3 linked regions of the Danio rerio genome follow. The main gene of each other region encodes a partner of the protein of the gene in region 3 in a complex. Links are inferred from orthologs where the notes say so. Each region holds a gene or a part of one and is shown on either strand. Other genes may lie near its edges. The genes, in order: timm10, timm9 and timm22.

Region 1 (3,713 bases), on a different chromosome or scaffold from region 3:
GTACTGCATTTGAATTTAAACGTACTACTCGGTCGTTAGTAAAGTACGTTCTATACAGTATGAATGTAAAAAATAATAAATCAATTCGGACGTACTACATCTGCCATTTTGTCATAATCACATGACCTTCCTGTGTCGGTTGCGTCGCTTTACTTCCATTCATGAATTCTCTTGCGAGGCATTTTGGGATAGCGCAGTGTGCATGGGATGCGTCATCCGGGTACTTCTCGCATACTGATTTTCGAATTCTATGAATTCGGACATACCACTCGGCTCGCATACTGATTTTAGCGTACTGTATTATATGGAAGTATGCTGTTTTGGACGCAGCCCTGGTGTTCCCCTCTAATGGCATGTACAAAGGGGGATGTCAATCGAATTCTTTCTGCAGACGTTATTGTATGGAATTTGTACTATTATAATAATGCTTTTTGTTTTTCTTAATCGTTACTTTTTATAAACTGTTTTTGTTAAATGTTAGAAAACTGTTAGGGGGAAAAAGAGGATTCCAGCACTACTTATTTATTGATATATATATATATATATATATATATATATATATATATATATATATATATATATATATATATACCATAAAATATACATTACACTTTTGAGCTTTCTTTCTCCTAGGTTTTTTCACAATATGAAATTATAATCAGTCAATAAATGTAAGCGTTATTGTATTTTATATCCGAGAAAAAGCAGCTCCTCCGTTCAGTTGCGTCTGTTTACAGCGCACCGATGACCGGTTTAAGATGGCGGCTGCGTTGACGTATCGGAGCAGCGGACCGGACCGACCACGAGGCGTCTCACTTTTCAATAGAAAACTTTATTGTCAGCGGATGTAGCAATTACAACGCTGGATGGAAAGGAGGATCCACGTGGGTTGTTTCTCCGGTCAAGCACACAGACACTGAAGGTTAAAGCAGGCTGTCGGGGCTCTTTGTTGAACGGGATCCGCGCGCAGACCGGTGGGTTTTTGTCGAGGGGGAACCGAAAGGACGTTTGCAGAAATGGACCCAATGAAAGCGCAGCAGCTCGCCGCAGAGCTGGAGGTGGAGATGATGGCTGACATGTACAACCGGTATGCAGATTTTATTCATATGCAACAAAAATTATTTGTGTGACATTACTTGCATTATTGATGCAGACATCAGATATGCTATTGTGCAGTAGTTTGTGTAGCTATTTGTTTTTTACGATTAGTTGTAGTATAACGTTATTATGTGTATTAAGACACCAGGCCTTGATCAAGATCGCATAATTTGACATTTTAGGGCAGAATTCAGTAAATCTATATAATCCTTGATGTTTGCTGCAATAACCTGTATCATCAGATTACGAGCATTGCTATTGCAGTGACAGGTCCATGCATTCAAGTCCTGCACATCTTGAACCGTCAGGTTCATTTTTTTGTCCTCTGTCACTTTGAGAAAGTTAAGTTTGAGTGTTTAATTAAAATGTATGCGCTGATCCAATGTACAAGTCAACATTTGTGTATAAATACACAATTATTAGTTATTAGTATGCTTTATATTAGATTGGTGTATTAAAATGTTATATAAAAATGCCTGTGACATTGACATTGGTATATCCTTGTGAAGAGCTTTTTAAGTGAAAAAAAGACTAATTGAGTGTTTTATGTAATGTTCGGTTGTTATGAAGTTAAATATTTGCCATTCCTATGCATTTATTCCTACTATGTAAAAGTCTAGAGTTAATAATTGTATGTGGTTGGGCTGGATAATCACCTACTCAATTTGATGGATATTTCTCTTATTATTTGTTGAAAATTACTAGTTACATAATGTCAATATTACAAGTTACATTTTGTTATAGATGCTATAAATATAAAGGTATAGTTGTTGGTACTATAATATGGGACATTCTACCAGAAAAGTACATTTTCACTTATAAAAAATGTGATAAGACCTGACCTTTAAGCTTTTCTTTCTCAAAAACAAAAAAAACAAAACAAAAAAATCATGCAAAAACAAGCATGAAATCATACAATTCATTGATAGAATGCATCTTTGATCACTGTCAGCTTCTTCATCAAACGAGTCATAGCCTTAAAGGTGTATTGCATGCATTTTATTTTAAGTTTAATATAAATGTAACAGGACTGACAGAAACATGGGGGCAATTGTAAAATAGTATTTCTTTGTTGAATTTATTTATAGTTTCATGTTTTAATCAGTTAGTGTGAATGCTAATAACTTAAACTTGCTATTTTAAAAGTTTTTTCCCCCTAAATAACAGTTTATAGCATAACAAAAGTATTAACACTGTAGGTTCAGTTGGGCTGAGGACAAGGATGACAGGGTTTATACAGTGTAAAATGTTTTTAATAAAGAGCAAAAATCTAAGAACCAAATGAATGACATATTCCTTTACAGAACAACTCACAGAAATCAACCATCGGTTCAGTTTAGAAAGTTTTTGGGATGAAATCCTTTTATATTCACTATTTGTTTTTATTTCAAGGACGAATGATGTACATCTCAGGTAGAATGTCCCATATAAATTATATTTATATTGATATTATACAAATATTTAAAATTTTCTATGGATTCCTTGAACCATGAAAAAATGGTGGTAAAAAATAATGTATTGAATTATTTCTGAGGAGAGAGAAAAAAAGTGTTTGGAAGAGCAAAAAGGTAGGCCAAAACAACTCTAATAATATTATATTATTATAATAAAAATATCCAAACTCAATAATATATTATTAATTATAAAGATTATGTTATCATAAAGAAATGTACTGAAATTGACAGTACAGCTTGTTGATGAATGTTATACATTCAAGATATTAATTGTAAATCGACTGACTTCTCCAGATCACATATTTTTGCTGCTATAATTTAGCAACAGTCTTGAAGGGTCCTGCAAATCTATTGTGGAAACGAAAATAGTTACACAAAGTCTCTTCTCTAGTGCACTTCACAAAAGTGTGCTTACTCCATTTCATCATCCTAGCAGTTTTTATGATCATAAATTTGGGAGAGCAAAATATTTCAACACAACCCTACAATACAATTGATGCAATTTGTCTAACCTTAACCAGATGGAAAACCACAGATTTGGCAACCCTGTTGTCAGGTGTTTCTTCAGATAGTATTAATGCCTAATACAATTTTACTCCTTGATTGTCAATAGTTTAGCCCTACTGTTGTAGTCTCTATAAAATAACGGATTGAGTTAATGGACGTTATTAGTGCTTAAATCCGTTGTTCAGCTGTTCCAAAACTGTTTTTCCCATTCATGTTATTTATTAAAATGTTAGAAATGATCATTGGTAAAGAATTATAAGCCATGAACCAAACCAAACAGCTGCAAGGAGAATCTGAATGTGTATCAAAAGTAAAATACATGAAAATTTGACAAAAGTCAAGTAATTTGGTAAGAGCTACAACATCATGAAGTACTGTGAACCCAATTTCTAAAAAAAAACATCAGATAAATGTATATCTTTTATTTAAAACTGAATGGCTCTCTATATAGAAACAATATATCTGACATATTTTGTTTCTTCATGGAAGCGTGTGGAGCTAAATATCAATAATGTGTGCTTTCCTCGCTGGAGCTTTGTGATTGGTGGAAAGTCTGTACAGCATCATGGAAAATGTAGTTTCCCTGCACCGATTCAGCATATAAACATTCATTCATTATTATTAACCTATATTAATCTGGGGTCATCACAGCGG
Region 2 (1,866 bases), on a different chromosome or scaffold from region 3:
TTCTCCTCTGGCATCAACAAGGCATTTGCCCCCACAGGACTGCCGCCAGCTGGATATCTTCTTTTTCTAACCATTCTCTGTAAACTCTAGAGATGGTTGTGTGTGAAAATCCCAGTTGATCAGCAGTTTCTGAAATACTCAGACCAGTCCGTCTGACACCAACAACCATCCCATATTCAAAGTCACTTAAGTCACCTTTCTTCCCCATTCTGATGCTCTATTTGAACTGCAGTAGATCGTCTTGACCATGTCTACATGCCTAAATGCATTGAGTTTCTGCCATATGATTGGCTGATTAGAAATTTGCATTAACGAGCAGTTGGACAGGTATACCTAATAAAGTGGCCAGTGAATGTAAATCCATGTATACATAATTACAGGAATTAACTTAAAGTATTTGCATGATTGTAGATATTTTCACTTCAACTACAAAATATAGCTATAATTTTTATATAGTTATTTATTTAAATTATTGTTTTTGTCATTGAATTGAAAATATCAGATTTTTTTTTTGTTTCTTGATCAACCTATACTTGTATATATTATTAATAAATTTACTCGGGAATGAGATGTTCATAACATTTTATTTTTGTAGCATGCTAACATAAAAACAATCAAGATCTTTCATGTTATGTGGCCGACCTGCTTAATGTCCCGAAAATGAGGAATGTCTTTCCATTTGGGGGAAACCAAAAATCCCATCAGTCCAGATATCTGCAGGCAGACAGTAGAGGACTTCTCCCGGTATTATCTGCAGTCCTGAACCTCTGAGGGCCCGTTTGGAGACTCCTGCTCTGTGCTGGAAATACAGAGAGCCTGGCGTAATGGTCTGGAGTTCAGTCCAGCAGCAGTCTGTTATCGTGGTTGTGCTAATAATCCGGCTTTGGCGGCCAACGCTTCGTTCTGCTGGATGTGATATTCCTGGAAGCGCATGGAGATCCTCTGTGTCATCTTCAGGTACTTCTGCAAGCAGCTCTCAGAACATGTGGTCTAGAAGAATGTTGATACTTAAAATTAAGATGTAGCTTTACATATAATGAATAAGTGTTTTTATTTTTTTATTTATGGTGACATGACACAAAAAACATTGCAAAAAATGTTTGTTATAATAATTAAATTGTAAATATTTTTCTCTTGCCAATTAACAAATCCAAACTTGTATTTATATATTATTAATGTTTTGACATGTATAGTTATTTTTAACACAGACTTTATGATAAACATATAGATCTGAGATATATCTTGAAATCTCAGATCAACCAGGTATTGTGGAAGGACGATTTTGGGGGTAAAACCTTGAGGTTTTACCAAAAACTGTGAGATACAAGCTTGCTAAAGTGTCACCGTCATTAATCAACTAAACGCAGTGGTCACCAAACTTGTTCCTGGAGGGCCGGTGTCCTGCAGATTTTAGCTCCAACCCTAATCAAACACACCTGAACAAGCTAATCAAGGTCTTGTTAGGTATACTTGAAACATCCAGGCAGGTGTGTTGAGGCAAGTTGGAGCTAAACCAGCAGAGACACCGGCCCTACAGGACTGAGATTGGTGACCCCTGAACTATAATAACAACTGTGAGGAAAAAGTTTAAATCTAAATATTTAATGAAACAGAATTTTACCCTGATAACTGTTATTTTGTCATTTTAATATTATAGTTATTTGTTATTTTAACAAATATAAATTCATTTTTTATTCCTCTGAATTATTAGAGAAAAAAAAGGCAAATTAGTGAATTCTTATCTTTCAATATGGAGGTCAAAAAATCTGATGTTATTCTCATAAGTTTAAATCCCACAATTCTAAATTTAAATAACTTGATTCTGACTTTGTCTCAGAATGGGATTAAAGCTCACACTCCTGTGGT
Region 3 (3,301 bases):
CTCTCAATTTGAATCTCTTTATAAATGGTGGGCAAAATATTCCAAGCAGCAGAGCTCGTACACAAAAAAGAATTTCTACCTGATTCACTCTTGAATCTGTATGGGTAAAAATCCCTGCTGCATGCTCTTGTAGAATGACTGTGCACCTGGCTGACTAAAACAGAATAATTAAGAAAATATTTTGGGACTGTTTTTTTTAAAGTCCTAAAAACTTTCTCAACTTTTAAAAAATGACTTTGACTATAATGTTCCTTATTTAAATGTGTCAGTGGAGGAACTTTCATAATAATTCTACACAACTTATTTTGGGCTGTCTGCAATTTATTTTTCATTATTTTAGAACTATTGCTGTACCAAAAAGCTGCTAATGATTGATAATTTTCCTATAGATCATGGATTATCTAATACAAATATAAATGTAATCTAATAATATAAATATCTTTTTTTGTACTTAGAATAGCACACATTTGTAATATATTAGTAAATGTAAAATAGACATCATTCAATTTTTGTCTTGATGATAGCTGTTCAAAATAAGATATTCACTAGTGTGTCACTTCATAATCCCAGTACATATTCAAACCTGTTTCACACTGTTTATGTTTTATATCACGTACTAATCAGCATAAATGATATATCAGTTTAGACTGTATAAAATAGTACACAATGTTTGAATATTTCACTAAAGTTAAAACATTAAATGCACCACTCATAGAAGCATCTTTTGCTGCACATTCAGTTTAATGTGGATTATTGTCTCCACCTAGTGGTTCTGTATTTGAACACTTTCTGATCATCTATTCATTTCACTCGTTATGATGTGTTTAACGGTCATCGCCATCTTAAATCCTTGAAAGTTTTTAATATTTTGATTTTTAAAAAACATCATGAACCTTTTCCAGCCTTTTCTTAGCTGTTCAGGCTGGAAAATGACCAGATTGACAAGCATGGTTTAAGCTGGACATTGCAGGTTTTGGCTGGTCAAGCTGGTTTTAGTTGGTCATCTCCCAGCATGACCAGCCAACCAGCCTAGGTTGATTTAAGCATTTTGTTTCAGCAGGGATATGTATTTATGTATGTATTAAATAATCTTTGCATCAAATTACAAAAAATGAATTACCGCTTGTGTGAGGCATTTGTAATGGAGCGTCTATGGACGGGACAGTACATTTGACGGGACGTTGTTCTCTTTACTGTCTGTCATTATCAGTCTGACACTATTTCTTTTTCTGAAAGTCTTGATTACACCATTGTGGAGATTCATTTTATTATTTCAGCAAATAAGATTGTAAAAATATTTGTTGTATATGGAGTCAATCTAGAGCCATATATACATGCAAAATAAAAGAAAGTTTTGCAAACAAAAACAAAGTCTTGAGCAAAAATAAATAAATAAATGCAAATCGCAAGCGAATTTTTTTTTTTTTTTAAAAAGTAAAAATATTCTGATAAAAATAAAGAATTGCAAAGGGAAAATGAAGTTTTAAGAAATAAAAATGAAATTTGCAAACAAAAAAGAACTGCAAATACAAGTTAAGCAGTGCAAAAAAACGGAAATATTTGCTATAAAAAACTACAATATATTTGCAAAACATCTTTGATAGCATAGCCTTTACAAAACCCGTCCAGTCAATTGCAATGTTCATTTCGATTAGCTTTTTAGTCAACCGTGAGTCTACGATGCTGTTTTTATTTTGCACTTTACATTTCTGCACGTTTCACTTTGTGGCCCTAATTTGACAAAGGGCAGAGGCTGGAGCTACTTGGCTGTAAGACCACCTCGGTGATACTGTGTCTCTAGCTGATGACGTCGCTTAAATGGAGGCAGGTCTGGGCCTGCCATAAACTTCCAGGTTCCCTTGACTCTGCTCCCCTTTTTTTCACAAAGTGAAATATTTTTTTAACTGCTTGATTTATTTGCAGTTTTTTTTTTTTTTGCAAAATTCATATTTATTTCTTAAAACTTATTTCCCCCGTTTGGGGGATTTTCGTTTATTTATTTTTGCTCAAAAAAACGTTCTTTTATTTTGCATGTATATATGGCTCTAGATTGGCTCCCATTCACTGCGCTCCAAGTTTACCCAACCATGACGACTTCCACTACTGAGAAACCCAGAAATGTGAAAAGTGTCCATTGTAGAGATTTTTCAAAGGCCATTTTATTTCTCTCTCTGAAAAATGCTTTTATTTTTTACCAGCATCGTGGGAAGTCTGACTGGAAGAATGCAGTATACAGTGGCTGTATTACAGGAGGTGCCATCGGATTCAGAGGCAAGTCTTTTTTGATTATATTTTATTTTTTTTAAACATCCCACATTTAAATATCATCTCATTTTTATTATCATAAGTTGGACTATTTCAATGAGCTGTGCTTCTCTTCTCTAGCCGGCCTTAAAGCTGGAGTTCTGGGCTGTGGAGGCTTTGCTGCCTTCTCTGCTGCCATTGAATATTACCTCCGATGAAGATCAGCTTTAGGACTGTTGGCTTGTACAGTTGTGAGCTGCTCACTGTATAATGGAAGACAATGTCCAGCCTTTCTTTCTTCCACCAATCAGGAGCTGTTCCTCCTGAAGAGATTCAGTTGCCTCAGTGGACCAATGAGCAGAAGTTTTATGCAGGGTTTGGAATATCTTGACCTTTCTGTCTCAGATCATCTGATGGCACTACTACAAAAACATCTAGGACAATATTTGTACCTGTAAATGTTAAACAGGATGATGCCCGAGCAAAAAATAAATGATAATAATTAAATGTACAGTGTTATACTTTGTCTGTGATAGAAATAAAGAATGATATAAAGTACTTGTTGTGGCGAAATTCGTATTTGAACAAGCAAGAAGTGTGTTGGCATTGTCTCAGTAATGTAATAATGAACATAAAACAGGCTCACAGATTTTCGTTTCAAAGCAAGCAGCTTTCTGTTCGTCAAAGTAGTGATGGCAGATTTGCAAAACATAAACATTGTTTCAAATCAGTGGTTTTTGGAGCATGTATCAAACAAGGCCAAGGTCACATGATTTCATAAAACTGGGCTTGGTTATGTCACAACTGGTTCAAAACATTTCAAGCTTGGTAATTCTTCATTCTTGGCCGATGAACCCATGAATGGGTTTATTGTAAGCAAGAACTTTTTAAAAACGTTCCTAGTTTTTACTTGATCTTGGGTCAGTTTTATAATTTTAATGACACATTTGTGTAATTTAAAGTAATAATAGCAATTAAATTGCAGTATGTCTGTAATTACCCATCTGTTATTTTACGGTAAATGTCTGTAATTTGCCATCTGTTATTTTACAGTAAA

What was found.
Region 1: the proteins of timm22 (region 3) and timm10 are in contact, whole or in part, in a cryo-EM structure (PDB 7CGP), measured with the Homo sapiens proteins. The link is inferred for Danio rerio from reciprocal best matches to the Homo sapiens genes TIMM22 and TIMM10. Residues at the interface, in NP_037469.2 of Homo sapiens: Tyr25, Ser26, Leu28, Leu29, Gln30, Tyr31, Leu32, Val33, Arg40, Leu42, Leu47, Gly48, Glu67, Glu144, Ser145, Tyr146, Gly148, Ser150; in NP_036588.1 of Homo sapiens: Pro3, Ala6, Gln7, Leu9, Ala10, Ala11, Leu13, Glu14, Val15, Met17, Met18, Ala19, Tyr22, Ser44, Lys45, Gly46, Glu47, Arg53, His62, Glu63, Gly66, Leu69, Thr70, Ser73, Met74.
Region 2: the proteins of timm22 (region 3) and timm9 are in contact, whole or in part, in a cryo-EM structure (PDB 7CGP), measured with the Homo sapiens proteins. The link is inferred for Danio rerio from reciprocal best matches to the Homo sapiens genes TIMM22 and TIMM9. Residues at the interface, in NP_037469.2 of Homo sapiens: Asp35, Arg37, Gln38, Pro39, Arg40, Leu42, Gly45, Ser46, Leu47, Gly49, Ile50, Ser52, Pro53, Lys60; in NP_001291414.1 of Homo sapiens: Gln13, Glu16, Phe17, Thr20, Leu57, Thr60, Gln61, Met65, Phe67, His71, Gln74, Asn75, Leu78, Lys81.

Annotation. Positions count from the first base shown.
Region 1 is NC_133176.1:47,648,107-47,651,819, forward strand, and holds the start of timm10 (mitochondrial import inner membrane translocase subunit Tim10), read left to right. Parts: upstream 1-837; 5' UTR 838-1,016; coding exon 1,017-1,087; intron 1,088-3,713.
Region 2 is NC_133192.1:12,573,140-12,575,005, reverse strand, and holds the end of timm9 (mitochondrial import inner membrane translocase subunit Tim9), read right to left. Parts: exon of another isoform or gene 991-1,866; coding exon 856-990; 3' UTR 566-855; downstream 1-565. UniProt on the Homo sapiens protein: Mitochondrial intermembrane chaperone that participates in the import and insertion of multi-pass transmembrane proteins into the mitochondrial inner membrane.
Region 3 is NC_133180.1:68,924,459-68,927,759, forward strand, and holds the end of timm22 (mitochondrial import inner membrane translocase subunit Tim22), read left to right. Parts: intron 1-2,198; coding exon 2,199-2,271; intron 2,272-2,385; coding exon 2,386-2,462; 3' UTR 2,463-2,799; downstream 2,800-3,301. UniProt on the Homo sapiens protein: Essential core component of the TIM22 complex, a complex that mediates the import and insertion of multi-pass transmembrane proteins into the mitochondrial inner membrane. In the TIM22 complex, it constitutes the voltage-activated and signal-gated channel.